Caenorhabditis elegans: one gene and its partner. The protein of the gene in region 1 purifies or fractionates together with the protein of each later gene. This does not show direct contact. Each region holds a gene or a part of one and is shown on either strand. Other genes may lie near its edges. The genes, in order: Y54G2A.18 and tmed-10.

Region 1 (3,594 bases):
ACTAATTCAACGCAACCATGTCGTATATGCTCCCTCATTTGGAGAATGGTTGGCAGGTAAGGGAAATTGACAGTTTGATTTTAAAACGGCAAAAAAACCTGCAAATTTAATGTTTGCTGTTCAGAAAAACAGAATTCTGTGATGAAAATTTGTTTAAAATGCTCAAAACTGACAAAAAATAACGATTTATTGCAGGTGGACCAGGCGATTCTCGCCGAAGAAGATCGCGTAGTCGTCGTGCGATTCGGACACGATTGGGACCCAACTTGCATGCAAATGGACGAAACGCTCTTCAAAATCGCGCCAAAAGTCAAGAATTTCGCCGTCGTCTACCTCGTCGACATCACGAAGGTGCCGGATTTCAACAAAATGTACGAGCTGTACGATCCGTGCACCGCCATGTTCTTCTTCCGTAACAAGCATATTATGGTGGATCTGGGAACCGGTAACAACAACAAAATCAACTGGGCAGTGACCGACGGGCAGGAGCTGATCGACATCATCGAGACGGTCTATCGTGGAGCTCGTAAAGGACGTGGTCTTGTCATCTCGCCGAAAGACTACTCGACCAAGTACAAGTACTAATTATTTTAATTATTTTCTCTGTTCTCTGTGTTCTGTAAATTCTTAAACTGTATCTAAAAATGTTTCAAAATAATTTACATTTTATTCACTCGAAAACTGAGCGATTCTATACAAAAACAAAAATATATAGGCGGCTTGAGAAAATTGTGATTTTGATAATAGAAAAAACAAAACGCGAAATGAGAATCGATTAGTCCTTCTTCTTGTCACCCTTGGATTCGGCAGAATCTCTGAGAAGATCGGAGACGCGGTCGAACTCGCGCTGGAGCCCTTCGGATTGCTTCTTGAGAGTGTCACGGTCAGTGTTGGCGGACTTGAGCTCTCCCTTGAGCTTCTCGATTTGCTTTGCCAATCCGGCGGCTTCTTCGTTGGTGTCAGCCTGAAAATTTGGAAATTTACACGGTTTTTAAGGAATTTGAGCCTATTTTCTCACCGAGTTCATCAAAGTCCTGGCGGTCTTGGTAGCAGATTCGGCTTGACGCATTGCGGCCTCGCTGGCGGCTTCAAGTTGGGCGGCGCGGCCCAACAAGGTCATAATACGCTGAATGACGAGCCAAAGGAGAAGAGCGAAGCCGGAAATGTAGAGATTTCTCTGCGCACGGAACAGACGCATGTGGTGGGTGGCGTCGGATTCGGCGGTACGGCCCATTTGTCCCTCGAGCCCGTTGTACTTCATTGTCTCGCGAACGCCGTCGGCGAAGAGGATGAAGAGCACGAAGCCGAACGTGATCGAATAGATGTGAGCATGTTTGGCGAGAGCTGTGAAGAGACGGGACTTGAACAACTTGCTCCACCTGGAAATTGAGAAATTTAGGATTTTTAAGATTTAAAAATATCGATTTTTCGTCAAAAATTGATCAAAAGCTGCAATTTCCTCGGTTTTTCTCGAACTTTTCACCTACAAAGTCGGTCTGATCCATGGAAGAAGGAGGGTGAAGGTGATGGCGATTTCTGCGTAAAGCACGCCGGCCACGATGGTCCACTGAAGTGTCATGTTGTTTCTGAAGAAAAAAAAGTTATATTTTTGTCAAAATTAATAAAAGAAATCAGCGAAAAATGGTAAAATTCCACCGAAAAAAAAAAGAAAAGTGATAAGAAATAAGAGTTTGTGGGGGCAGTGCAACAAACAACTGCCTGAAATCGATCGGAACACAACGATGGACGAGAGAGAGAGTGCAAGAATTGGGGAGACCGAGGGGAGAGAAACGGAAAAAAACTAAAAACATCGAAGACACCAAAGAGCAGCGGAGACAACAAATAGAAAACAATAAATCTGTATTTGGTCAATCATTAAAGATTTTTAGAGCAAAAATAAACGTTTTTTAATCAAAAATCGCTATTTTTCATGAAAAACCGTCGAAAATTTCATTGAAATCGCTATTTTTCATCGAAATCAGGCAAAAAGTTCATAAAAATCCAATAAAATTGAAGGAAAACGTGGATTAACTTTAAAGGGAGTTCGATTTACCCGAGAGGGTCTCGCACCGAAATACTAAATTTGGGTATGCGCCTTTAAGGATACTGTATTTTTAAAACGCTTTTAATTCAATTTTTGAGGAAAATCGTTCAATTATGGCTAATTTTCTTTAAAAATTGCTCAATTTCGGCGATTTTCATTCAAAATTGGCCAAATTCACACAGAAACTTGAAGAAAAACTCTAATCGTGTCCCAGAATATGCAAAAAATCAATGTACGAAGTGGAAACATTTAGAAAAAAAAACCAAAAAATCAGCACTGCAAAACATGAATACCTCATGCTTTTATGCTCGGGGCTTTGGCGACGTGTATCTCGGCGTGTTGGAAGTTTTTAGATGAAAAATTGCGAAATTTTCGCCTCGAACATAGTACGTTATGGGCGTTTTTAGAGTAACTGAGACGTAGACAAAATGACTAAACAATCGGCGAAAGGACGACCTTGACCTATTTTTAAACGGCCGGGAATATCTGTGCAAATGTGGTTTTTTTTGGAGAAAAAAAAGACTAAAATGAGGAGTTTTCATAGATTTTTGAAGAAAAAATCGCTGAAATTTGCATAAAACAATTCAAAACTCTTCTTTTCTTCAGTTTCTCGAATAATTTCTGCTAAAAAGCTGGAAAAACTACCGGTTGCTTTAAAGGCGCATACACCATCAAGGATCATAGGTCTCACAGCGGAGCGCTGGTTACGGTAGCTTGGATATCGACTTTACTAGAAAACAATTTTTAAAAACCCAAATTTTGGTTTTTTCGGCAAAATTTTCTGTAATATGGTCAGAATTATGTTTTAAAATATGAATACGGCAAAAAAAAACCAAAAAAATTCTGGAAAAAATGCAAAATTATTGGAGCACCAGTCGAATTTATTCACAGGAAAACAATAATAAAAAAGGAAAAACAGTAATAAAAAAAAACAAAATATTATTCACAGGAAAACAATAAAAAATGTTAGAAAATTAGTTTACATAAATATTTCACAAGACTGGGAGAATAAAAATAAAATAACCGTGTTGATGAATGGTGTGAGATCACAGAAAACTCAATAAATAAAATAAATATAATTGGGAGCGGTGAATGGTAGAATTTCGAGAGGGAAATTAGAAACAATAAGGAAAACAATTAATAATGTTAGGAAATTAGTTTACATATTTCACAATAGACTGGGAGAATAAACATAAAATATATTGAATTTTGGGGATTATGGGGGCTCGTAGGTTGGGTCGCTCTCTTCATCGTCAACGAATCCCTCCATCATCTTCCGAAGCTCCTCGTCCGAATCCATTGCCGCGTTTTCGGGATCCGTGCGAGAATTATACACGCTGGACTGAGCAGATGTTGAGTTCTGCAAAAAGGATTTCATTATTCACAAGAAAAAAATTGGCGATAGGTTCCCCTGCGACCAAGGTTTTCTTTCACGTTTTTTGAACGGAAAAATGAAATCTTACGTGGCTTTTGCGTCCGGTTGAAGGGTGGCCACGTGTGTCCGAGCGATGCGAATCCCTCTGAGGCTCCAGTCTTTGCTCCTCCAGTGG
Region 2 (5,469 bases), on another chromosome or scaffold:
TAAGCTCGAAATGAGCTCTGAATTTCGGCGGATCTGAAAATTTTTTTTGACCAAAAACAGAATTTTGCAAATAAAAATTGATTTTAGAGCAATTTATTGCATAAATATTCAATTTTAGAATTTTTACTAATAGTTTGAATCTTTTTAAAGTGTTTTAGTCATTAATTTGACTGATAACACAGAAAATGATTTTTCTTTACAACGAAATCGATAAAAAAGTAAAGCAACATTTATCAAGGGAAATCTTGCAAAATTGGTTAAAAAACTTGTATGAAATCAAAGATTTCACTAGAATAAAGCTACAAATCAATCAAAATCACTAAAAGTACAAATAGTTCTGATCAAATTTCAATGTTCCAATCTACCAATGGATCTATGCCACGCCAAATTTCTTATGCAAGTGTTGCTCTCCAATTTTCCTTAAAAAATGGATCAAATACTCACATAAATGATCAAATTAACATTTTTTACAAGTTTCGTGTTATATTTTCTTTTTCTTAATAAGGAACCATCAGGTTCTTCCTGCCCTCTACGGCTCTAGATACCTCAACTTCGACAACTCCTATCTACTCGGAGAGGTGAGAGAACTTGTAGAGCACATCAAAAACTATGATATTCAATTTAACCTGCGTTTTTATCTTTCAAGATGGGGGAGTTAGACGTACATTTGTATTGCATGCTTTTTGTTATTCTACTGGCTGCTCTAACTCCCTCATCTTAAGAGATAAACACATGATTTTAACTAATTAGTATAGTTTCTACAATTTCCTAGTTAATCACTTTTTGATATCTTGCATCTCTGAGGAGATAGGAGTTGTCGAAGATACAGTATCTATAGCTATGCGCATATGAAGAATCTAATGGATTCTCATCATGCTATACTACTTATCATCTGCTTTTTGTGGGAAACAATGATTCAAAAATGTTTTTTCAAATGATCAAACAAGTTGTGATTTGATCTGAACATTTAGTGTTGGTTTAGTGAAGATCAGCTGCCAACTAAACAGTTTCCGTTGATGTGGGCATTTTTGAACAATTTCAAGACGTGAAACCGTGTTATCTCTATCAAGCTGACGTTTAAAAATTGGAATCAAACATATTAATGCTTGAAAAAATTTGTTTCGCGTAGAAATTTTGTCATAAAGTTAACTTGTTCTAGTCGGTTCGAAAATCAATGAAAAAGCAGCCAAATCGTGAATTTGTTGAATAAAATGTTTTTTAAAACTTTTTTAAAGCAATAATAATCCCAATATTTAATTATTTTTTCCAAATTTCATCTTGAAAACTCGAATAATCGCGAAATTTCGTCTGAAACTCATTTAATACCGTAAAAGTGTGCAAACGCGCTCCGTTGGACTTTCCTATTCTCGATTTTCTTAACTCTCCCGATTTGAGGCGCTGTGTTTTCCTGTTAAAATGCGTTTGTCAACGTTGACAACTCAACTACGGTTGCCAATGCGTGTTTGCGTACACACTCGATCCCACGCGCAACTGCATACGCCGCGTTGGTTTTAATTCCATCTTTTTTAAATTTATTTTCGGCGTTTGTATTGATTTTTGCTGTGTATTCCTTTAACATGAACTGATTTTTGTCCATGATAACTTTTGAACAACTTAATATTCATTATCGCATTTTTCTTACATTTATTTCCAGGTAATCATCCGAACAATTATGAAATCTCTAGTTATCTTTCTGTCAGCTATCGTTCTTGCCCATTCTCTGAGGTTCTACGTGCCACCAAAAGAGAAAAAGTGTCTGAAAGAGGAAATTCACAAGGTAAATACTTTTACAACTCCTTGTTACCATAGCAGTAAAGATGTCAAACATACTTTTTTTCGTTAAAAATTGATATATTTAATAAACATCAGAATTTATGTCTAATAAAACCTCTTGCAGAATGTGGTCGTAACAGGAGAATATGAGTTCAGTCAAGGAATTCAATACACTGGAAGTATTCACGTGAGTAAAAATAGTTTCAAAATTACTTCAAATTTTTAATTTATTTTCAGGTCACCGACACCAGAGGCCACACTCTCTACAAACGTGAAAACTTTGCTGATCTAAAAGGAAAATTCGCGTTCACTGCTGACGAATACGACATCTTTGAGATTTGCATTGAGAATCATCCACCAGCTGGGCATCCTGGAGAGAAGCGCGAGGTTTCTCTTATTTTGAAGCACGGAGTCGAAGCCAAGAATTATGATGATATTGCCAAAGCCGAGAAGCTGAAGCCACTCGAGGTTGAACTTAGAAGATTGGAGGATATGGCTGATTCAATCACCAAAGATTTCGCATTCATGCGCCAAAGAGAGGAAGAAATGAGAAATACGAACGGTAAGTGTTTAAAAAATCATTTGAATCATATAAAAGGTTCGTAATTATTTTAATTTAAAAATAATGCATTGCCGATTATCCAAGTACAGTGCTCCACATAATGATACGGCCACCCCCAAATTTTGGTATAACTCAAAACTGGGTTGAGATAGCAAAACATAATTTCTTGTGAAAATGTCCGCTGTACTGGCTAACTTTCAGATAAGTATTGGAAATATACATGAACCGTTCGTAAAAAAAGATAAACCATTTTTTCATGAAAATCCATATAAAAAAATCCACAAAATGATACGGCCACCCTTGGTTATTGTTTTCTTTTTTCGTTTTCTTTGCAATTTTTTTTGCTAAACGTTAGGTTTCATGTTCGTTTGTGTTTTTACAGCTATGTGTCGTGGAATAACTTTAACTGACTACGGAAAAAGACAAATTGTGCAAAATTATCTCAAGGCTTTTCGGATCGTCAGATTTCTCGTGATTTGAAACGTTCGAGAGATATGATCATTCGATATGCTTCAAATCCTGCCGCTCATTGCACCAAACAGTCTTCTGGTCGCCCACCACTTCTTTCTGGTAGAGACAAGCGAAAAATCGTTCGTCGAGCATCAAATTGAACAGTGACTTTCTCAAAAATTAGGCGCGAGATGAACCTGCCAGTGTCTGTTGAGACTGCACGACGTGTTCTTTCGAATTCCCAGTTTATCAAAAGACGAAAATTGAGAAAGGCTCCTTTCATTACCGAAAAAACCGCTAAAATCGTATTCAGTTAGCTAAAATCAGCCAGAGAACTAACTGGAGACAAGTGAAGATTACCGTATGATCATTCAAGCCCAATTTTGGTTTTAGTTCATCTTTTCTTCTCTCAAATCGTACCAGTAATCACGGTAGCCTTCTGGTTCATCACAGTTAAACTTTTCCTCGTCACTGAAGATGATCTGAGACCAATACATGAGCTTGAATGATCATACCGTAATCCTCACTTGTCTCCAGTTAGTTCTCTGGCTGATTTTAGCAAACTGAATACGACTTTGGCAGTGTTTTTCGGTAATGAAAGGAGCCTTTCCTAATTTTCGTCTTTTGATAAACTGAGACTTCGAAATAACACGTCGTGCAGTCTCAACAGACACTGGCAGGTTCATCTCGCGCCTAATTTTTGAGCAAGTCACTGTTCAATTGGATGCTAGACGAACGATTTTTCGCTTGTCTCTACCAGAAAGAAGTGGTGGGCGACCAGAAGACTTTTTGGTGCAATAAGTGGCAGGATTTGAAGCAAATCGAGTGATCATATCTCTTGAACGTTTCAAATCACGAAAAATCTGACGATCCGAAAAGCCTTGAGATAATTTTGCACAATTCGTCTTTTTCCGTAGTCAGTTAAAGTTATTCCACGACACATAGCTGTAAAAACACAAACGAACATAAAACCTAACGTTTAGCAAAAAAAAATTGCAAAGAAAACGAAAAAAGAAAACAAAAACCAAGGGTGGCCGTATCATTTTGTGGATTTTTTTATATGGATTTTCATGAAAAAATGGTTTATCTTTTTTTACGAACGGTTCATGTATATTTCCAATACTTATCTGAAAGTTAGCCAGTACAGCGGACATTTTCACAAGAAATTATGTTTTGCTATCTCAACCCAGTTTTGAGTTATACCAAAATTTGGGGGTGGCCGTATCATTATGTGGAGCACTGTATTAAGCTTTTATTATCATTGTTAATTAAATAGATTTGTAAGGCTACAACATATCGTTTCGAGACGCAATTCATTCTCTTCACGGAGCAGGATATTGTGATCCCTGGAAATTGTTTACCACTTTACTTGAGCAAACTCTAATTATTCGATTCATCGACAACCATCTATTTTTTACTTTTTTTTACAGAATCGACAAACAGCCGAGTTCTTTACCTGTCCATCTTTTCAATGCTGTGCCTTCTTGGTCTTGCCATTTGGCAAGTTCTTTTCCTCCGTAATTACTTCAAGTCGAAAAAGCTTATCGACTAGATTTCCCCAACCCTTAATTTATGATTAATTTATCAATTTTTTTTTCGGTTCTCCTCAACTTCTTGCTTTTCCCCCAACATCTCTTTTGTCCACACACCCAAACGTTTCATGTGATTTCTAATTGGTTCCCACATCTTTTTTACTAGATAATGATGATAATGAGTATTTTATTTTGTTGGATTTTAGTTGTTTCCTCCCCCGTTAATCTGCACAAGTATCAACAAAGGGTAAAATGTATAGTGTGTAATGTTTCCGTCTTATTTTTCTGTTTTCATCATTGCCGTTTTTTAAAATCATTATTATGAACTTTTAAATTGAAACATTGAAACATCAATTGGTAATTTACTCACCATATGGTGATTTAGTAAAGTACATAAGATCACTTTTCAAGAAGTCTTTTTCAGACGTCATCCTTTCAGAAATAACTTCAGACTTCATTCTCCACCAGTTCACTTACAACAATGATCGGTCTACATATTTTCCACTACGCCGGCTTTTTCGGAGCACAAATCTTCAATACTGTTCTGGCAATATTAATTGTGAAAAGAGCTGGAAAACTGTTTGGTAGTTACCGTCATGTTATGTTTGTATTCACATTTTGTTCGATGTTGTACTCTGCAGTAGAGATAATTGCACAGCCGGTACGATACAATAGAAAATTGGAACTTGAAATTGAAATTTTGAGAATGTTACTTCAAATAATCGTCTTTCAGGTACTATACATGAAAGGTCCAATGTTTGTCGTGTTTCTTGATAATAACGTTTTTTCTCAAGGCATTGGAAATGTAGTTGCTTGTTAGTTTTAAACATTTTACTTTTCATAGAACTCTTAAACAAAAAATGAATTTCCCTCTTTTTTTGGTTATTGAAGTGAAAACAACAATTTACAGGTCTTCATTGTGGTACCTTTGGATTTTTGATTTCTGTATTTGCGGCACAGTTTTTCTACAGATACATTGCATTGTGCAGGTTTTCTTGAATAGATTCAACAAATTTCTGATTGAAACTCTTTTCAGACAAAGTCTGTTATCTTATTTCGATGGATATAAAATATTTTTGATCTTCATTCCATGCGTAATTACATACATTCTCTGGTTTGAACTTGTCGTTTGGGGAATGTCTGCGACTATGG

The links.
Region 2: the proteins of Y54G2A.18 (region 1) and tmed-10 fractionate together in Caenorhabditis elegans (co-fractionation; one large-scale study listed by BioGRID). This does not show direct contact.

Annotation. Positions count from the first base shown.
Region 1 is NC_003282.8:2,890,910-2,894,503, forward strand, and holds Y54G2A.18 (Endoplasmic reticulum transmembrane protein), read right to left. Parts: upstream 1,587-3,594; 5' UTR 1,580-1,586; coding exon 1,488-1,579; intron 1,380-1,487; coding exon 1,019-1,379; intron 965-1,018; coding exon 776-964; 3' UTR 651-775; downstream 1-650. Other genes in the region: dib-1 (Thioredoxin-like protein), read left to right, coding at 18-56, 196-585; Y54G2A.19 (Intraflagellar transport protein 46 homolog), read right to left, coding at 3,261-3,404, 3,508-3,594.
Region 2 is NC_003283.11:11,323,150-11,328,618, reverse strand, and holds tmed-10 (GOLD domain-containing protein), read left to right. Parts: upstream 1-1,654; 5' UTR 1,655-1,672; coding exon 1,673-1,777; intron 1,778-1,897; coding exon 1,898-1,960; intron 1,961-2,010; coding exon 2,011-2,335; intron 2,336-4,215; coding exon 4,216-4,337; 3' UTR 4,338-4,654; downstream 4,655-5,469. Other genes in the region: str-141 (Serpentine receptor class r-10), read left to right, coding at 4,799-4,978, 5,051-5,132, 5,228-5,306, 5,354-5,469.